Linked DNA regions of Cricetulus griseus. The protein of the gene in region 1 interacts with the protein of each later gene in a pairwise test. Links are inferred from orthologs where the notes say so. Each region holds a gene or a part of one and is shown in the gene's direction. Other genes may lie near its edges. The genes, in order: Grb10, Egfr, Gigyf1, Raf1, Igf1r and Gigyf2.

Evidence for each region.
Region 2: the proteins of Grb10 (region 1) and Egfr interact in binary tests that used the Homo sapiens proteins (3 or more experiments, as listed by UniProt). The link is inferred for Cricetulus griseus from reciprocal best matches to the Homo sapiens genes GRB10 and EGFR.
Region 3: the proteins of Grb10 (region 1) and Gigyf1 interact in a two-hybrid assay, tested with the Homo sapiens proteins (2 studies listed by BioGRID). The link is inferred for Cricetulus griseus from reciprocal best matches to the Homo sapiens genes GRB10 and GIGYF1.
Region 4: the proteins of Grb10 (region 1) and Raf1 interact in a two-hybrid assay, tested with the Homo sapiens proteins (2 studies listed by BioGRID). The link is inferred for Cricetulus griseus from reciprocal best matches to the Homo sapiens genes GRB10 and RAF1.
Region 5: the proteins of Grb10 (region 1) and Igf1r interact in a two-hybrid assay, tested with the Homo sapiens proteins (4 studies listed by BioGRID and IntAct). The link is inferred for Cricetulus griseus from reciprocal best matches to the Homo sapiens genes GRB10 and IGF1R.
Region 6: the proteins of Grb10 (region 1) and Gigyf2 interact in a two-hybrid assay, tested with the Homo sapiens proteins (2 studies listed by BioGRID). The link is inferred for Cricetulus griseus from reciprocal best matches to the Homo sapiens genes GRB10 and GIGYF2.

The regions. Positions count from the first base shown.
Region 1 is NW_023276807.1:93,634,033-93,637,086, forward strand, and holds the end of Grb10 (growth factor receptor-bound protein 10), read left to right. Parts: intron 1-316; coding exon 317-463; 3' UTR 464-2,505; downstream 2,506-3,054.
Region 2 is NW_023276807.1:89,393,571-89,397,135, reverse strand, and holds part of Egfr (epidermal growth factor receptor), read left to right. Parts: intron 1-364; coding exon 365-455; intron 456-3,031; coding exon 3,032-3,231; intron 3,232-3,565. UniProt on the Homo sapiens protein: Receptor tyrosine kinase binding ligands of the EGF family and activating several signaling cascades to convert extracellular cues into appropriate cellular responses.
Region 3 is NC_048597.1:116,445,857-116,448,891, forward strand, and holds part of Gigyf1 (GRB10-interacting GYF protein 1), read left to right. Parts: intron 1-2; coding exon 3-43; intron 44-169; coding exon 170-334; intron 335-541; coding exon 542-795; intron 796-879; coding exon 880-988; intron 989-1,660; coding exon 1,661-1,795; intron 1,796-1,939; coding exon 1,940-2,040; intron 2,041-2,181; coding exon 2,182-2,353; intron 2,354-2,450; coding exon 2,451-2,617; intron 2,618-2,758; coding exon 2,759-2,859; intron 2,860-2,938; coding exon 2,939-3,035. UniProt on the Homo sapiens protein: May act cooperatively with GRB10 to regulate tyrosine kinase receptor signaling. May increase IGF1 receptor phosphorylation under IGF1 stimulation as well as phosphorylation of IRS1 and SHC1.
Region 4 is NC_048601.1:29,220,801-29,223,569, forward strand, and holds part of Raf1 (RAF proto-oncogene serine/threonine-protein kinase), read left to right. Parts: intron 1-443; coding exon 444-620; intron 621-1,924; coding exon 1,925-1,971; intron 1,972-2,769. UniProt on the Homo sapiens protein: Serine/threonine-protein kinase that acts as a regulatory link between the membrane-associated Ras GTPases and the MAPK/ERK cascade, and this critical regulatory link functions as a switch determining cell fate decisions including proliferation, differentiation, apoptosis, survival and oncogenic transformation.
Region 5 is NC_048596.1:129,269,979-129,274,108, reverse strand, and holds the start of Igf1r (insulin-like growth factor 1 receptor), read left to right. Parts: upstream 1-1,306; 5' UTR 1,307-1,777; coding exon 1,778-1,871; intron 1,872-4,130. UniProt on the Homo sapiens protein: Receptor tyrosine kinase which mediates actions of insulin-like growth factor 1 (IGF1). Binds IGF1 with high affinity and IGF2 and insulin (INS) with a lower affinity. The activated IGF1R is involved in cell growth and survival control.
Region 6 is NC_048595.1:439,092,616-439,095,817, forward strand, and holds part of Gigyf2 (GRB10-interacting GYF protein 2), read left to right. Parts: intron 1-1,412; coding exon 1,413-1,560; intron 1,561-3,202. UniProt on the Homo sapiens protein: Key component of the 4EHP-GYF2 complex, a multiprotein complex that acts as a repressor of translation initiation. In the 4EHP-GYF2 complex, acts as a factor that bridges EIF4E2 to ZFP36/TTP, linking translation repression with mRNA decay.

The DNA.
Region 1 (3,054 bases):
ACTGTTTTCAGTGAAGGAATTGAGCCAGTGTATCTCATGACTACTCAAAATTATAGAGGACCTAACTGATAGTTAAGTGGCTACCAACGAGAAGTTGTACTCCTGTCCCCCTCTCAGTATTAGAAAGTGTGGTTACAGCACCAGGCACAAATACTGGCTCCCTTCACACCATGTCTTCTGACCTACCTTGCCAACTTTGTGTGTGGCTCTCAGGAACAGAACCATAAGCAGGCAAATTTGCTGCTGACCACAGGCCACAGGGTATCCCCCAAAGTCACATCCTCTAATGTGGCAAGTACTTTCTGTGTCTCTGCAGTGCGAGGATGATGGGCAGACATTCTTCACTCTGGATGATGGGAACACCAAGTTCTCCGATCTGATTCAGCTGGTCGACTTCTACCAGCTCAACAAAGGTGTTCTGCCCTGCAAGCTGAAGCACCACTGCATCCGTGTGGCCTTATGACCTCCTTGCCCTATCACAGAGGCTGGAGGCAGCAACACTGGAACGGAGAAGAGAGGCCTGCATGAGGGTGAGAACACACACCTACTCCCACCCAACAACTCAGAACATCATGGCTTTCTGATCGGTGCCAACCGACCAACATCAATTAGTTATTGGACTTCACAAAGATTTGCCGCTGCGGATCAAGCAGGACCACCTCCCTCTGCGTCAGCCATTTAAATTGGGGGAGGGATGAGATCCAGTGCAAGTGTGGGAAGAAACTGGAATGATAATTTTGATTAGGCCACGTAGGGTGAAAACCGCAGAGAAATGATTGGAAATGAACTCTTGCCCTGGAATAATCTTGACAAAACCGCGATGTTTACTTTTTGTATTGATCACTTTTTTGCACTCCTTCTTCGTTGTCAATGTTGTACTCAGCCTATATGGTAGGAGGGGATGTGGCTTTGCAACCCAGATGAGACAAAGAATTTTGAATTGGCAGTCTTCAGCCTGAAAAATTGGTCCCCAAAGTTTTCTCAAGGGCATCCTGCTTTCCACAGGTTGCCACAGTGTGGATTTGGCTCCTACATTATAGATACCCCAGTAGTTCCCATTCTACTTGAAAAGCTTTTGTTTTAAAAAATAAAATAAAATAAAATAAAATAATGAGATAAAAAGTGTCAACCGCAGTTGACACCACGCATGTTTTGTGGACTCAGTCGAGCTACCACAGTCTGGTCATCATTGTTGTTGTGCTGATGTCTGGTCATTTATTATTAGTGTGTCTCGTTCTCCACAGTGCAGGAGACCTCATTACTTTGGAAAACTCACTGTTCCCCAGCACAGCACAGCTGCATGACCTCAGCTTCAGACTGATGTCAGCAAGCCTTCTTGTAACACATTGGTATTCATTGTGGATGCCACATAGTCCATCTGGGGTGCCCTGTGCCTCACATTTTCATAGCCACCCACTGTTGTAGAATAATTGCTGCCTTTACCCTCTGCAGTAGCCTCAGTCATTTCAGTTCTCCCACAGGGGTGGGGTGGGATAGTGGGGTGAAAGGATCTAATGAGAAAATGTCAACTTGTTGACCTTGTGCTCTGTCACTCTGAACATCTATGGTGATAAAGATAAGGAAACACTGCAGAGGGTGCCAGCATTGGCTGGCTTTGAGTCTTTGCTTGATGACCTCTGCACCCTACTGAAAACCCCCTAAGCCAGCAGGAGCAGGGTATGCAGAGGCTCTGCCTCTGATGGCTTCGGGTGAGATGTACCTCACAGTGGTTGTGAACATTGGACAGTTTTGATTTTTTGGGTTTTTTTTAGCAGCATGATGTTTGCTTCCTCCTCCAAGAGAGGAGTCAGAAGGTGGCTGGAGTTGTCATTGGCTCCCTTGAGCCCCCATGGAGGACCCTCTGTTGTCCCCTTAATGATTTTTATCAGGCATGAGGGTATCAGACAGGACTCCCTTGAGAAACACAGACAACCGTGGTGAACAGATTTCTTTTCCTGACACCACACCTGACTGTCCCTTTGAACCTGAGCTAGCCACTAGATTGCCAGTCCCGACTTTTGAAGTGCTCCCCAGGGAGTACTTCTGATTTCTTGCGGTTGACGGCACAGTGGAAGATAGATGTAACAGCGCTTTGTAAGCAGGTCCGCTGCAAGCTGGTCCACAGTATAGAAACACTGTAGTTCACAGACCATGCAACCCGTGTTTCCACGAGATGTTTATTACAACAAATGAAGAATTTTTTTTTCTTTTTACTTTTTATCTTTTTATCTATCTTTTATCATTTTTTTTAGTAAAACATTTTCTTAAGCATAAATGCTCAATTGCATTTCTCTTTCTTTCGCAGCTAGTTAATCATTTCAGTTGACAATGAGATAATTCTCAAGTTCATGCCTGGCAGCAGGTTTCCACTGATCTTCCCCTTAGGGACAGATAACGGACATTTCATTTTTACCATATTCATTTTTTTTTTTTTTTTGCTGACTTTAAGATCAGAACTTTACAAAACAGACAACAAGCAACTCTAGGATTTCTTTCTCCAGTTTACACAGAACAGTCCCCACAGTGCATAATCATTTTCTTTTGCCTCTACAGTAGACAGCTAGGAAGTGTATCTCATATTTATAAGTATGCATTTTATTTAAAAGGAAGAATAGGCTTAACTCTGGTTCACAATTTTGTACGTAGCTGGTTTGACGTAGTATTTTGTACTTCCCTAGCCGAAGTGAATTGTTGAAGGCTGCAATCCGCCTTGAGTGTAGCAGACTTCAGTTGCCCCGAGCTCGCCAGCCTTTGCACAGGCAGCTGGGAATTCCACCTGAAACAGCTGGTCCCTGGGGTAGTGGGTACCCAGCACCCCTAGCCAGAGACTGAAGGACATTTGACTTTTATTTTTGTATTTAATTGACATGAATGTAAAGGGGACAGCTCAGGGTTGTTTTGGAGCCTGTTTGACTTTGTAATCTCTGCCTGTGATTTTCTTTTCCAAATGAAAACTCCGTGTAGCCACCAGGACTAAGTTGAGAAGGAAAATGCCAAATGCTTTGGGTTTTTAGAGTTTTAATAGGTAGCCTCTGTTATATTATTAGGTGTTAG
Region 2 (3,565 bases), about 4.2 Mb from region 1:
AAGTATTTAAGACGAGACCCTAAATAACCAGCAACATGAAAACAGTCAGAGAAGGAACCTGGTGTGTGATCTGATATCCTCCATAGATATAAGAGTACATGGTCAGCCTGTAAGGTGGGCATTGGCCTGAGGGTTGCAAGAGGTGCAATCAGGGATTCAAAGTTCCATGGAGGGAGCAGGATTTCAATGTTTTTTTAAATATCTCCTGGACTGTCGTCCTTGGACATCCTTAGTCATCCTTAGTCACAGCGAGGCTGGGAGAATCCACTGCCGCTGTCCATACACCATGAGTCCTAGAATATGTTTCCTACAAAACAAAGACATTTCTAGCACTGTGTGTATAAGCCTTTCTTCCTCCCTCTAGGGTTTTTGCTGATTCAAGCTTGGCCTGAAAACTGGACTGACCTCCATGCTTTTGAGAACCTAGAAATAATACGTGGCAGAACAAAGCAACAGTAAGTCAGCCATAACCAAAGGCTGATAGATTATTCTTGCTCTTTATTTTGAAATTGGCCTGAAAGGAGGGTTACAGAAATAGTACAAAGATGCTCTTTCACTCAGCTTCCCCCAGTGTGAACAACCTACGTGAGTGGATATTCGGATTAAGATAGATGTTCACTCAACCATGTACTTTATTCTGAGTTCACCAGATTGTCCAGGAATATGTTTGTTCTTTCTCTGTCCTCTCAAGAATCCCACATTGCATTGACTTCTAATATCTTCTCAGTCCCCTTCAAACTTCCCTCACTCCTATGTCTTTGCCCATTTTCACTGTCTTGACATTCTGGGAAAATGTGACCAGGTGTTTTATAGACTGTCTCCTTATTTATTCTTGGCTAATATTTGCTAATGATACAGATGAAGATATATAACATATCACACAAGGGGACCTAAGCAATGTTTTAACACTACATGCTTTGGGGACCTATAACGAACATTTTTCCAGCCACAACAAGGAAATGTGTGCACAGAGAGAAAAAGATATACACATGCATACACGCACAGAGAAACAGACAGACAGACAGACAGACAGACAGACAGACAGACAGACAGACAGAGAAAGAAACAAAAAGGTTGATGGAGGGAGGAAGGGAGGGAGGGAGGGACGGTGGGAGGGAGGGAAGAAGGTAGGGGAAAATGGAGGAAGGGAGGGAGATCTTTAACAGAGAAATCCTAAGATTTGTGGTGAGGAAGAGAAATTTGGAAATCTGTAGCTCAAACTGCCTTGAAAACTTTCTGATTATGATGGCCTTTTCTGGAATTTACCACCATTAACTTCACATACCATGAACTGTTTAATACGTCAAAGCACCATAATCACATATACACAATATACATTGCTTCCATAAACTCTGTTAGTCAGACACTTGTGATACTAACTCTCAGAGATGTCTTTGCATAGGCCAGGGATGAGCTTTGGCTCAGGATTTCAAGTGACTGCATTGCAGCCTTCTGCTTCGTTTTAAGGGTTTAAACCACTGGATGACCACTAGGTCCTGGTGTGACTCACAAAAAGCTGGGGCTTGACCTGCAAAAAAAAATCCCAGCCAGACCCTGACTCCTTGGCTTCTCCGAGTTCATGCTGGGGGGAATTCCCAGGAAATGGTGGTTGTGGATCTCCTACCTAGGACTGTCACTTCTCTGGAAATAGGCTGTGGGGAAAATGGAAAGAAGCATAAACAGGAAGAGGGGGCTACAAAATAATGCTTTAAACCTTTGGCTTTTAATCTCTTAACTTTCATTCTCTTGCCTTTGTCCTGTCTCAACCGACCCATTTCTGAGGTGGGTGTCAAAGAATCTTCCTACGAATGCACACTGCTTCTATGTGACTGTGACAACCCAAGCTCCTCCAGTAGGGGCATAAACCTGTGCTCTGACTTCACCCTCCATCCCCAGGGCATGTCTTCCAGCCCTCCCTACCTGCAGATATCCTGAAGTCCTCTTCCTAGGGCTTTGGGATTCATTGCCTTTTGTCTTGCTAACTTTAATCCAGTCATTCAATGGGAACATACCTTGGAGAATCTCACTTGGCTCTGCTCTCCAGGTCTCAGATATGAGACATCAGGGCTTGGAGAAAGTCATCCTTCTATGCCATTCATCCATGGAGCTACTTAAGTGTCCATGCTTGACCAACAATGCTCTATAAACTGCATTCATTTTTCTGACCTCAAAAAACTCTGCCTGCAATCAGCTAACCTGGGCTCATAGAGGCTCACAGATACTGAACCAACAGCCAGGGATCCTGCAGGGTACTGACTTAGGCATGTATGTTACAGCTGTGTAGCTTGGTCTTCTTGTCGGACTCCTAGCATTGGGAGCAGGGGCTGTCTCTGACTCTGTTGCCTGCTTTAGGGACCCTTTCCTCCTATGGGATCGGATCACTTCATCTAGCCTTAATATGAGGGGAGTTGCCTAGTCTCACTATAACTTGATATACCATGGCTGGCTGATATCCATGGGAGGCCTGCCCTTTTCTGAAGAGAAACAAACGAGAAAGAGCGGATGGGGAAAGGGGATTTGGAGGAGAGGAGGTAGGAGAATTAAGGTAGGGATTCAAAAATAAACAAAAACCTCTGCCTCTATAAAAGACACATATTTAACTTATATAGTATTTGTAGTACCATGGTACCATATAGTGCAGTGGTATGACAGATATTCACTCAATAAACATGACCGGATAACACTGGATAGATGGACAGACAAACAAACTTACTTAAAGAACATTTAGGTGTTCCTGATTTCTAGGAAAACTCTAAATACAGTAAATGAAATGACATGAGGCCAATGACTCAGTCCTCCAGTTTACCCAATGTTAAAGATAATAAATGGATGAGAAACCGGCTTTTCCTTGAAGAAACTTAAAAAGCACTTGCATTTTTTAAAAGTTGTGATTCATATTTTTCACAGAATTATTAGTAATAATTGTAACATGGTTTTCAGGAAACCTAAGTGGCCCAGAAAAACAAAATTTGAGGGTGGCATGTTGTTTTCACTATCATGTACAATGCAATTTTTCTTCTCCCCCATTTAGTGGTCAATTTTCTCTTGCGGTCGTTGGCCTAAACATAACATCATTGGGATTGCGTTCCCTCAAGGAAATAAGTGATGGAGATGTGGTCATTTCTGGAAACCGAAATTTGTGCTACGCAAATACAATAAACTGGAAAAAACTCTTTGGGACTTCTAATCAGAAAACCAAAATCATGAACAACAGAGCCCCGAATGACTGCAGTAAGTAGCTGGTCCTGTCTCACCTGTGCAGACGGTTCCTCAAGTAATTTGTTGTAGAAAGAATGCCAAAGAGGTCCGTGGCTCCTGCTCACTGTTCTTATCCAGGTCTACAGTGTGCTGGAGGGAAAAGTGGACATGGGATATGAAAAATGTGTAGTTCAGTAGGGGAAAGGGCAGAATTTAAAGTTGCAAGTAAGTCAGATGCTGAGAATACAATCAAAACTGCAAAGAGATGAACCCTTAAAGAGAAGTCCTGTACTCTACACTGGGACAATAAGAAAAAGGGCCCTGAGGGCATGCCCCACCAGCCAAAGGGATAGTCATCCTTTTGAAA
Region 3 (3,035 bases), on another chromosome or scaffold:
AGAGGTGAGAGGCGGTTTGAGAAGTCTGCAAGGAGGGATGGAGGTATGAGAGCATTGCGTGTGTGGCCAGTAGGGTAGGGAGGCGATTGAGATGGGCTCCCAGGTGGAGGGGGGGCAGAACCCTGTCACAGGGTTCTTTGGTGCTCATTGTCTGTCTCCCCCATGCCAGCACGGTCTGGGTTTGAGGAGGGGGGGGCCGGCCCGAGGAAGGAGCATGCGCGCTCTGACAGTGAGAATTGGCGCTCACTACGAGAGGAGCAAGAGGAGGATGGCAGCTGGAGACTCGGGGCAGGACCCCGGCGAGATGGTGATCGCTGGCGTTCCACCAGCCCTGGTAAGATGGGGCAAGGTGGAGTTTGAAAATTGCCCCCATGGGGCCGATACTGGGGAAGGGGTGGTCATGCATATGAGGGATGAGGACATCCTGGGGAAGCCATGCTTCTTGGGAAGACCTGGTGAGCTGAAGAAGGCAAATCCTGGTTTGGCTGGACACTCATTTTTGTGTTTTGTTTTGTTTTCCTTCTCTAACTTTCTCTTCCAGATGGTGGTCCCCGCTCTGCTGGCTGGCGGGAGCATGGGGAGCGGAGGCGCAAGTTTGATTTTGATTTACGAGGGGAACGAGGAGCGTGTGGTGAAGAGGACGGGCGACTTGGGGGAGGCAGCTCTCACCTCCGGAGATGCCGGGGGCTCGATGGTTTTGAAGATGACAAGGATGGGCTCCCTGAGTGGTGCCTGGACGATGAAGATGAGGAGATGGGCACTTTTGATGCTTCTGGGGCCTTCCTGCCTCTTAAGGTACCCTCTCAGGGGCCAGTTGGGGTTGATGGAAGCTGTCCCTCAACTCCTCTCCCACTGTCAACTCTGCCCTTTCTCACACAGAAGGGTCCCAAGGAACCTATTCCCGAGGAGCAAGAGCTTGATTTCCAGGGCCTGGAGGAAGAGGAGGAGGAGCCTTCAGAAGGAGTGGATGAAGAGGGGCCTGAGGCAGGTGAGCCCTTAAAACCTTGCAGGGAAGAGCCAAGTCGTCCTCTAACATATGTGCACGTGCATGTGCCAAGCCAATAGTCAGAGATGTGGAGAGAGACCTTTATCAGGTGTGAAGAGAATGACCTTTGGAGTCATGTGGAAAGCCTGCAGGCACCCACCCACACAGCCCTCATCACTTGTAGGACCTAACCAATATCTCACAGAGCAGGGCCGGGAGGCAGTGTGCGCAGTGCAGACAGCTCAGTTCTCTGCATCCATACTTCTTGGTTGGTTAGGGAGTTGACCAAAGTTAGAAAGGATAGACATACCACCCAAGGTCTGGGAACTGGTACACGTTACTTTGTGCTATCTCACTGGCATGGTCTCCCCCTGCTCTCTTATTTTTATTGTATATGTGCCACAGAGTATGTGGGGGGCAGAGGACAATTGTGGGTATAGTGGGTATAGTCCCTGCCGTTCACCTTGTTGGAGGTAGGCTCAGTTGGGCCTACCAGCTTGTGGAGAATCTCCTCTCTCTGCCTCCCACTCCCACTCCCATGTGTGGCTTTTATACAGGTTCTTGGGATTTCAACACTGCTCTTCATGGTTGTGAAACAAACACTTACGCATTGAGCCGACTCCTTAGCCTCAGCCTCTTCAGTTTTGAGTTCAAGTAGTCATGTGTTCCTTCCAGGTGGGAAGGAGGTGACGCCATTACCTCCTCCAGAAAAGTCCAGCTCCCCATCTCCACTGCCTGCCTTGGGCCCTCTCTGGACAACGAACGAGGATGGTGATGAAGTAGTGGAGAAAGAGCCTCCACCGGCTGAAGGTAGACTGGCAAGAGCTGATGGAAAAGGGAGTGCTGGGTGTGGATACAGAATTGGAGTTGTGGCAAGAGCCATTTTCCTAGCAGGCACAAGAGCCATCCTGTCCCTTCCTCGGCCCCTCCCCATTTTCCCATCTCTTCTCCCAGGAGATGAGATGAGGGGACTGTCTCTGAGTCCTGGAGTTGGCTCACCTCCTGGCCCACCTGGAGATCTGGAAGATGAAGAAGGCCTGAAGCACCTGCAGCAGGTTTGGGGGGGTGCCTGTGCATGCTCAAGGGGCCTCCACTCTGGGGTTGCAGAGACCTTTGTCCCACGTGTCCTAGATCTGTCTGACATGGCCCTTGTGGTATCAGTCCTCTCAGACTTGCCTCTCTCTCTGGACTCCCAGGAGGCAGAGAAGCTGGTGGCCTCCCTGCAGGACAGCTCCCTGGAGGAGGAGCAATTCACGGCCGCCATGCAGACACAGGGCCTTCGCCACTCCACAGCCGCCACTGCCCTTCCCCTCAGCCATGGCGCTGCCCGAAAGTGGTTCTACAAGGACCCACAGGGGGAAATCCAAGGTAGCTGTGGGTAGCAGACTGCTGGGAGTTGATTTGCTCCGTGTGCTCTCTGACGTGCCATGGCCACCTCCTAACCCCTCTCACACCCTTGTTCCAGGCCCTTTCACGACCCAGGAGATGGCTGAGTGGTTCCAGGCAGGCTACTTTTCCATGTCACTCCTAGTGAAGAGGGGCTGCGATGAGGGTTTTCAGCCTCTGGGAGAGGTGATCAAGATGTGGGGCCGTGTGCCCTTTGCCCCCGGGCCCTCGCCGCCCCCACTGCTGGTGAGCACTGTCTGCTCTGCAGGTTGCAGGGAAGGCAACCAGTGGGGCAGCAGCAGGACCTCAGGCACTACCTCACTGCCTCACTTGCTGGGCATGCTCCTGCTGGGCACACTCACACGGGCATGCTCTGACCTCCCGCAGGGAAACATGGATCAGGAGCGGCTGAAGAAGCAGCAGGAGCTGGCTGCCGCAGCCCTGTACCAGCAGCTGCAGCACCAGCACTTTCTGCAGCTGGTCGGCAGGTATGGGGACTTCAGGGCTTGGTGTGGGCAGGGCAGTGGTTGTACGTGGTAATACCGTCTGAGCCCAGTATGTCTGTAGCCGCCAGCTCCCGCAGTGTACGACGCTCCGGGAAAAGGCAGCTATGGGGGACCTGACGCCGCCGCAGCAGCAGCAGCTCACTGCGTTCCTGCAGCAG
Region 4 (2,769 bases), on another chromosome or scaffold:
GGTTGGGTAGGGCCGGGCTGTGCAGGTCAGCACCTGCTGTGGGTTCTGAGGGATACTCCTCTAAGGAGGAAGGAACTCTATTTCCTTCCCGAGTATGTGCTAAAAGCTAGACGAACCCTTTGCATAGACACACCTCTTCTCTCTAATCAATAGGCAACAGTCTAGCTGTGTGGGATTTGGCTTGTGTTTTTACCTTTATTTCCAGCCATCTATTTATAGCTAACCTGCTATATTCTGGAGCCTGAGCACTAGCTTTCTAGTCATTGAATTACTCTTAGGTCTGTAGGGATGAGTTGGACAGAGGTGGATTTCACAGATGAGGGGTCCTGTACAGAGGGCATCTCTTCAAGCAAGGCCAGCGTGGAGGTGGATGAAGGGTGGGCTTGAGCGGATTGTAGGCAGTGCTCTCATGGCTGTGCTTTCCCTGGTTCCCCTTTCCCCAGCAAAACACGGCATGTTAATATCCTGCTGTTCATGGGCTATATGACAAAGGACAACCTGGCCATTGTGACCCAGTGGTGTGAAGGCAGCAGTCTCTATAAACACCTACATGTCCAGGAGACCAAATTCCAGATGTTCCAGCTAATTGACATTGCCCGACAGACAGCTCAGGGAATGGAGTAAGTAGACAGCTTGGTGAGTCCTTGTGGCCTGAATCATGAGTTGCCCTTTTGGGACCTGGATTGAGTGGCACCTGGGTAGGCTTTTTGAAATTGGGTGTTAATGCATGGGAACTCTGAAGCTCCTGTTCCTCATGAGCCAGATCTAATCACTGTCTGTAGGAACCTTGTGTCCAGGCAGCAGGAACATCTTCTGCTCACTGGTGCTTAATGTGTGTATTTTAGACTGTGTGTATTTGTGTGGGTCTGTGTGTAGATACATGCACAAGTCAGTATTCAAGAGTTGGGTGGTCCTGAGGCTGGAATCAGTTGTGAGCTGCTTGATATGTGGGTGCTGGGAATGGAAAGTGGGTCTTCTGCAAGAGCAGTGCATGCTCTTAAACTCCAAACCATCTTTCCAGCCCTTTGTCACCTTGGATCATCCACTGTCTTTAAAAGGCCATCCTTTAGCTCCTGGATCCTCTGGGTCTCTGCAGGACATGTTACTGAGTGATAAGGTTCCCTCCTGGCAAGTACCAGGCAGTGCTCTTGAGCTTTGCTTCCCAAGTGCCCTTAGGATGAGGGTACAGGAATTCTGTAGTGTTTGCTCCCTCCTCCCCTACCTGGTGACTATAGCTAGTATACTAGTATAAGCATTACAGTTGTGTTCTGTTTTGAAGTTCATACAGAAGTCAGGTAGTGGTGGCACATGCCTTTAATCTCAGCACTCAGGGGCTGGGAGTGTGGTGCAGAGGCAGGTGGATCTCTAAGTTTGAGGCCAGCTTGATCTACAGAGCAAGTTCCAGAATAGCCAGGGCTACACGGAGAGAACCCATCTCAAAACACCAGAAAATAAAATTCATACAAAAATTTTAACATTAAGGAATAATTCATATACCGTAAGAATTCTTTCTTTTGGAAGGTGGGGCTTTGGGGCCCTTCTGTATTCATAGTGTAGCTGTCCTATTAAATCCTGCATTCTCACCACACAGAAAAATACAGCTTATAGTCATCCCTTGCTCCTGATAATCAGCCTTCCCACTGCTGGGTTTTGTCTTTGGACAAGTGGCATGTGAGATAAAATACAGCGTTCTACATGCCTGGCTTTGTTTGCATGGCCTGGCTTTGTTTGGTATGTGGGGTGAAGTGGTGCCCACCAGTTAGTTGATGGCCAGTGAGGCTGTCAGTTACATTTTGAGTGAAATCGATGTTTGATGTCAGCATCATTTACACTTGTAGCCTTTCTGTAGGTGACAGGCTTAGGCTGGGAAGACGGGTGCTTTACTAGCTATAGCCTCAAACAACTGATTGGTTTTTCTTCACAGCTATTTGCATGCGAAGAACATCATCCACAGAGACATGAAATCCAACAGTATCCTTTGGTATTGAGTTCTCAGCTTAGGGACCCAAGAGGCCTTTTTCATATATGGTTCACGGTGCCAGGGGAGAGCTTTTTAAAGGAAAACAAAAATGGATAGTTAAGAAGCCAAACAGGCCCTCTGCAGCCTCCACCTTAACTGGGCTGCAGTGACTGTGTCTATGAAAGTTCCTTCCTTAAGGTTTCTTTCCTCCACAAGTTCCTTCAGAGTTGGGATACAAACTTGGAATGAACTTGAACTCAGCCTGGTTGAATTATATAAAGTTTGCTTGAGAGTTTATTAGTATCTATTTATGCCTCATCTGTGGAAAATGTATTACTGTGCACACAGAGGAGAATGTAAATGGCGGGCCAGATTTTCAGGATTTTGGGTGTATTTCCCATCCTCGGATGCATATGTTACCAACAAGTCCAAGGTGGCTGCTGCCTCTTACTTGGTCCAAGCATCATAATGTCACCCTTATAGTAGACTGAGAATTGGGATAGAGCTATACTAATTATACATTCTGGGACTGGGGAGATAGATAATCACAGGGTGAGTTTGGGGACCTACTGTGAGCTAGTTTCAGCCCAACTCCACTAATCACCTGACCTCCACAATTCCCTATTTTAACTGGAGGGCCACCAATTCAGAACCAGTGTCCAATAGACCCCAGAATGTCTGATCGTTTCCTTTGAAATTGCTCCATAATGTCCTTGAAGTCAGCCTAGAAGCCACTGTTAGAAACCGAATTCCCTTTCTCACACTAACTGTACACTGAGATGGTGTGGCAGTGTTATGCTCAGCTTATG
Region 5 (4,130 bases), on another chromosome or scaffold:
CCATCGCCTAGACGCGCCCTGGGCACGAGGGGCCGCCGGTCTGGGTCCCCTTTCCAGGACTCGGGGGCCCGCGGTGGGATCGCCTTCCTCCCAGTAGAGCCACGCGGACCGCACCCTGTCCGCTTCCCGATTGCGCGCGAGCACCGGAACACCTGGGGAGCGCCGCCACGGGCGCCCGAGCCTGGCGTGGAAAGTGCCCTGCTTAGCAATCTTCGGGGGTCCCCTTTCCCCAGGTGTGCCCCTCCCGCCGCGTCTGGGCTTTCCACCACGCTGCGAAAAAATGCTGCATGCATGCACTTATTTATTTATTTTGCAACAGCTGCAAGAAACAATGAAGCTTTTTCACAGAGCGGGCCAGCGCGCTCTCCAGCCGCGCTGTTGTTGTTTTCAATGAAGCTCGGGGCCGCACTCCCCGCCCACCGCGCCCGCAGCCCGCCTGCTCGTCCGCCCGCCCTGCCACCTCCCGGGCCACCGAGTCCCACCGGCGCCCGGGGCATTGTTTTTTGGAGTCCTGCGGGAGGGGTGGGTGCGTACAGGGCTGGCCGGCGCAGTGCGGGTGGGGGCGGAAGCGTGGGCGCGCGCGTGGCTCTGTGTGCGCGCGGGGGCCAGCGCGGGTGGAGGCGCGGGGGGCGGTGCCTCCCTAGCCCGGCTCCCCACGCCCGCGCTCCGCTCCGCACGTCCCTGCGATCCCGAACTCCGGCTCTTGGCGCCTGCCGAGTCGGGGCCCGGCCCTCGGCGCGCCGGGACTGCGGCTGTGGACGCTTGGAGTGTGCGCGCGGGCACGTGTGCGCGGCCCCGAGAGCGCGCGCGTAGAGCCCCCAGTGTGTGGCGGCGGCGGCGCGGTGAGGCTGAGGTTCTTGTTTACCAGCATTAACTCCGCTGAGCGGAAAAAAAAAAAAAAGCGGGGGAGGGGGGAACCGAGGAGGAGGGAGCGCACCGGGCGAACTCGAGAGAGGCCAGCGACAGGGAAGCCGCCAGCGAGCCTGTCCCGGCGCGCTTGGTGCTCGCAGCCCCTCGGCCCCTCTCCTCGGACCCTCCACGCCTCTCCCGCGCCTGCGAGAGCTCCACGGCGCGCGGCGCGCTCGGCTTTGACCTTCAGCGAGCCGGAGCCCCCGCGCACGGAGTCGGCGGCGGGCGGGGGCCGACGTGGGGCGGCGGGAGCTCAGAGCGCTGCACGGCCGCCGCTTTGTGTGTGTGTGTCCTGGATTTGGGAAGGAGCTCGCGGCGGCGGCGGCGCTGAGGGAGGAGGAGGAGGCGGCGGCGAGCGGAGCCCAGAGGAGGAGGAGGAGCCCGAGGAGGGGGAGCCGCTCATTCATTTCCACTCCGCATATCTGCCCCTCGCCGACCTCGCCCGCGCCCGGGACTTCGGACCAGTCTCGCCAACTGCGTCGCGCTCTCCCGCCGCGGAGGCTTGGCCGGTTGCTCCCTCCGGGCATCTGGGGACGTTTGTCCTCGCCTGTGGCGATTTGGGCTTTGCTCCTCTCTCCGTACAGTTTTTCCCCCTCTTCTGCATCTCTGGGTTTGCAAATGGAGGCCGACGACGCCGACAGCCCGCCCCGGCGCGCCCCGGCTTCCCGACTCCGCCGCGCCGTGGGCCGCTGCTGCCGGCGCTGAAGGGGCCGCCCCGCGCCACCCTCCCCGTCCACGCCGCCTTCCGAGAATCGTCGCCTGCGCTCTTGTTTTTGAAGGAGAGTGAGGACTGAGTTGGAGACTTTTCTTTTCTTTTTTCTTTTTCTTTTTCTTTTGAGAGAAGGGAATTGCGTCCCAAATAAAAGGAATGAAGTCTGGCTCCGGAGGAGGGTCCCCGACCTCACTGTGGGGGCTCGTGTTTCTCTCTGCCGCGCTCTCGCTGTGGCCGACGAGTGGAGAAAGTGAGTATTTGCCCGCCGCCCGCGGCCACTGCGGGAACTTTTCCTCCGAGGGGCTGCGCCCTGTTTGGGAAAACCCAGTTGCCACGGGCGCAGCTGTCGGACTCCCGAGCTCGAGAGCGGAGGGTGGGGCTCTCACTGAAGGCAGGAGGGGAGCTTAAGGCTCGGGACCCCCACGGACTCTGGCTCAGCGCATCCGTGCTCAGGAAGGGCCTCAGGGCTTTCTCTTTCACTGTCCCGGGAGCGCTGTCCCGCGCGCGGCCTGGTGGGTGGGCAGCACTTGCTCCACGGCTCTTCAGGGACACTCCCGCGCGTGGGCACTTGGTGGGGAAGTTGGTGTCTGGGTGGGTTCAGGGTCCCTGCCACCCTCGTCTCTCCTCACCCCTGCGCGCGGGCATCTCCACACCCAGCGCCCATCCCGCGCAGCGCACCACGGTGACAGCACCTTTGGAGGCTTCACCGGTGGCTCATGGGGTAGACTGAGTGCGCCGTGGCGGCGAGCGGGAGCCTCCTGCCCTGCGGGGTGCAAGTTGTCCTTGAGGGGGAGGTGCGGGGTGGGGAGGCCTCGCGGCCCCAGGAAACGTTTCCAAACATCACGGCATGGCCTCCTGTCGTCCAACTTGTTTGGCCCATAAGGTCCCTAGGGTTTTTGGCCTTTAGCATCATCTCACATGATACGATGGGCGTCTAGTCCCCTCGTCCCCCACGGCTTCGTGACTCGGGACTCATCGGTGTGGCTCTGGGGTTCAGGGTTTATTCCCCGGCTTTCCCTAGGGAAGCGTGAGCTTGGGACCTTCTTCAGACTCCTTCGGGGGTGCGAGGCTTGGATCCCCAACTTTGAGGGTCCTTGGGCAGTCTGTAAGTTTCTACCCAGCCCTGGACACCCCTTCTTCCTAAAAGCGTCTAAGTAAAACGTGGTCGGGACATCAACCCATGAGCAGAGCCGATGTGCTTTTCCACACACGTGTGTTCTCAGCGCGGGTTTAGGGGCATCCACAGCCACACGACCCGAGGGGACACCTGGACTCCTAGCCCGGGGGAGAGGTGTCGTGTGCGTTGGTTTGGGCAGCGTCAGTGTGGTAGTGGAGGAGTGGTTGTTTTGTTTTGCAAGCGCGGAGCTCTGGCCTTGGTTTTGTTGTGGCCAGAGTTGTGTTGCACTGCCCCCCCCCCCCGCCCCCCGCACTTCCTTTGTACATACTTAATAAGCAGTATCGCTCCACGCTCGCTATCGCTTGCAATCTGATAGCTTTTGTTTTGGTGGTGTTGGGTAGGAGTGAGTGTGTGTGTGTGTGTGTGTGTGTGTGTGTGTGTGTGTGTGTGTGTGTGTGTGTGTGTGTCTGGGAGTGAGCACTCTCCACAGTGTCAGGAGGAGGGAGGTGGTTTGGAGGGGGTTTGTTCTCGAGAAAAACAGTGTGGCATACTGGTAGTTTTGAGATGATAGAGTAATTTGAACACAATTAAAAGTTTAAATGCAGTCTCCGAGCTGGGGCTGGGGAGGTGAGGGCGTGCTGATGAGTAATGGTTACAGAATGTATGCAGGTGGTGCCTATTAACTTCGAAAAATCATGACGGAGTCTTGAGTTAGCGAGGGGGAGATGATGGAGGCTGCGCACGGCGTGCGGCCCCACCACTGGGGTAGTTAACAAAGGCTGTTTCTATAAACAAACCCTTGAACTTCTTTTAAGAAATGTCTGCGATGGAGTACGAGCAGATCTTTATAGAACTATAGCTGTTTACTGCCTAGAGTAAGGCGCAGACTGGGCCGACACACAGATCTGGGCTCTCCTGTCCTTTGTTTTCCAAACTTTGAACTTACTGGATTGGGCGAAAGGTTTCTGGCTCACTTCTACCCAGGCGTTTAGATGGTGTTTGGGGGCAGGGAGGATTTTTAGCCTTTAAGGACTAAATATGGTTTAGAAGGCACTAGGAAGGAGTCCATTTTACTATGGCATCCTATTGAACTATGCACTTTCTCTACTTTTGTTATTTAATAGAAGTTACGAAATGCAAAGTAGCAGCGATGGCCTTGCATCTTGGGGCAGCATGTAGGCATCTGAAACAGGTTGTGGCTGGGTCTTCATGAACAATATGCTTTGTCCAGAACAAGGGTGGCAGGAGAAGGGTGTTTTAATGTGTGTTGTTTATCATCCAGTGATAATTGGCCAAGCTCTTCCTCAGGCTTCCTGAAATGTGATGGATGGCTAGAAAGCACCCAGAATCCTTGTTAGGGCCTGCTGAAGTCCTGACTCAAGTGGGTGTCTG
Region 6 (3,202 bases), on another chromosome or scaffold:
TAGTTTACATTTTCTGAAAGACAAATTGGCAGGATTCATAAAGAGGCATAAAATCCGCATATTCTACTAGAAATGATAACTATGCTGTAGATCACTTCTGGAGATGTGGAAGACGCATTGTATGTAGCACAGAGCATTTGAGACTGTGCAGAGCAGACTTTGGTAAACTAGGAGGGACTGGCAGGCGTCCATACCAGAGCACAGTAGAGCAGATGTCTCAGGGCATTGCAGGAACAGGTGGTATGAAGTAGTGCAGCAAACACTGTACCTGGGGATGGTCTCCTCTGTGGGCTAAAACAGCAAGGAAATGCCCCCGCATCACATGTGCCCATGGACCCTAGGCATGTTCTTCCACAGTGCTCTCTGCACTCCTCCCTTGATGCTTCTGAAGTAAGTTTCTCTAATAAATACAACAGTAAGAACAGAGGATTAGTGTACTGTTTTATACTCTAACCAGCCGGCAGAGATGTGGGGCAATATTTTAGGAACAAATCCCTTCTGGGATTGCCAGTGTGAATAACGTGTATAACTGTAGCCTTTGGTATATTGCCAGCTGAGTTTCAGCTTGTCCTCTGACCTGTATACTGTAAATCAGTCAGGTGCATATATTGCCATAGTGCTGAGGTCAGATGTTGTGTGTTTCCTAATGTATGATACAGACACTGTATCTGCTAGAAAACTTAGGACAGCCATTCTGGTATAGCCTGAGTGAAAGCTTTGAGTTTCAGGAGGGACTTTATAGAGATAACAGGTATCAAGTAGAGTGCTGTAAATGAGGACTGGTAGTTCAGTGACCCTCTCTCAGTTTTTGTATTGCCAGTACTGGTTCAGGTTTTTTTTCTTAAGATTTATTTTTAAAGTAACTAAATTATTAGCGTGTTCACATGAATGAAGGTCAAAGCATAGGATACCCATGGTGCTGGAGTTATAGTGTAAGCTGCCTGATGTGACTGCCAGGAATCAGACTCAGGTCCTTTACAAGAACAGTATGCACTTTTTTTTTGTTTATTTGAGACAGGGTTTCTCTGTGGCTTTGGAGGCTGTCCTGGAACTAAACTAGCTCTTGTAGACCAGGCTGACCTTGAACTCACATAGAAACCTTGGAGAGAGGGGGGAGGGGGGAGAGAGAGAGGGAGGGAGGGGGAGAGGGAAAGAGGAAGAAAGAAAAGAAATACTTTATACTTTTGGGGGTTGGTTCTTTCCTTCCACTGGGTTCTGGGCATGAACTCAGGCCATGAGACTTCTGTGGAAGCACTTTTGCCCTCTGAGCTATCTCGCCGGGATTTTGTTTGCAGACTCACACTTGCGAAGGTGAAGGTGAAGGCAAAGGCCAGCCAGCCATTCTCTTCAAGCGTCCACATCCAAATGCACTGTATAATTGTAGTTGTGCTGTTTTGCTTCTTGTTTCACAGGATTCTGTTTGGGGCATGAACCATAGTACACTCCATTCGGTATTTCAGACCAATCAAAGCAACAACCAACAGTCCAGTTTTGAGGCTGTGCAAAGTGGCAAGAAGAAGAAAAAGCAGAAGATGGTTCGAGCAGATCCTAGTTTATTAGGTGAGAATAGGCCTGGAGTCTCAGCCTGGATGGGAGGAAGGTTCGGGCGATACGAGGGACCAGATAATCATAAGTCACTGTCTTTCATGTCGAGGTTCATTTTACTTACTGGCCTTAAGAGAAGTGGCTAGTAAGTGTTTCCTGGGCATGGAGGTGCAGGAGACAAGCAAACTTGAAAGCATTGCTCAGCCTTTCAAATAAAGATAAGGATAATGGATGACAGTCGAGCTCTGGAAGCAAATATTCAGAGAAGCAGCGCTTGTTATATCCACTTTTAGCCCAGTTCTCCCAGCCAGTAAGCTGGACTTCAGGCCTCTGCTGCTCTTCTGTGGTAGACACCTCTCTGTCTGGTACTGAGGGCTATTGTCCTCACACACAGTAGCTTCCTAAAAAAGCAGACTCCTAAATTAGGGCTTTAAAAGACAGGTGGGAATGGTGGGTACTGGTATTTCATAAATAATGAATGTAAGTTGCTGTGTTTCTCAAATTGACCTAACAACCACACAAGTAGTGATGGAAAATGAAACTATTTTCTATTTTTGAATATGAAGTTAATATACTTCCATAGAGTCCTTCTTTAGAACATTAATATCAAACAGGTTAAAGAGTTTAAAATTCTGACAGAAATAGATGAATAGGTTTCTAACCGTAGCTCTGGCTAAGAAGTCCTTAGGACTTGGCTTACAGGTATGAGAGGTTGCTCTACAGATGTGGCTTAGCTGTTCATGTTTGTTCTCTGCAGTATGCTCTTGGTCTTTTGCCATAGACTCCAGAAGACAGGGACTTAAACATCCCTGTGTGGGAGATGGATGGGTAGGTCCTCTTAGAGCTCAAAGGCTCCATTGTCTTGAAGGGAGGACAACCAGCACTAAAGGACGAGGAACTTGACCATGAAGTGCTGAGGGGACTAACTTGGGCGAGTGATCTTTTCATGTGAAAAGCACTGCCTACTTAAGTCTCTTTCTGGGGAGTCCTGTGTTTATTCACTTTCATGTGTTACTTCTCAATGCATGTATTCTCTGTAAAGTTACAGATTGAGAAAAGTTTTCCATGCACATACTGGATGAATAGCTTTCAACTGGATCTAGAATTATCCATTCATTGCAAGAACAGATTGAAAGGGAACTTTAATTCTGAAACAAACCAACAGAGGGAGCCCCAACATCATTTCACTTCCCAGTGTCCTTCACTTTACTGTAATCATACTAATTTTAAGGGTTCCCAAGTAGCCAGTGTAAACCATTTGGGGGTGATAATATACACCTTGCAGAGTCCTCCCAGGAAGTCAGGCTTCCCTTTCCTACAGAGGATCATAATCCTAAGGAAGTCAGGTGAGGGAGTGTTGTAGACCTAGAAGAAAGTGGTCTGTGGAGCAGCAGAGACCCCTTTTGTTGCCTTGCCTTTCATGGCACTCACAAGCAATTGTTTTTGTAATGTTAGGAAGCTGAGCTTTTAAATCAGTTAAGTTAGATCATGTCTTCTAAACAGCCTCACCTGGTAATCAAGACATTGTAATCTCAAATAATCATTATTTCTTCATAGGTTTCTTTTCCTGTCTTGATTGAAATTAGTTGGTTTTAAAATTACATTTCTTCGGTTGCATGCAGCTCATTGTTTCCAGCTCATTTCATTTGTTCTTGAC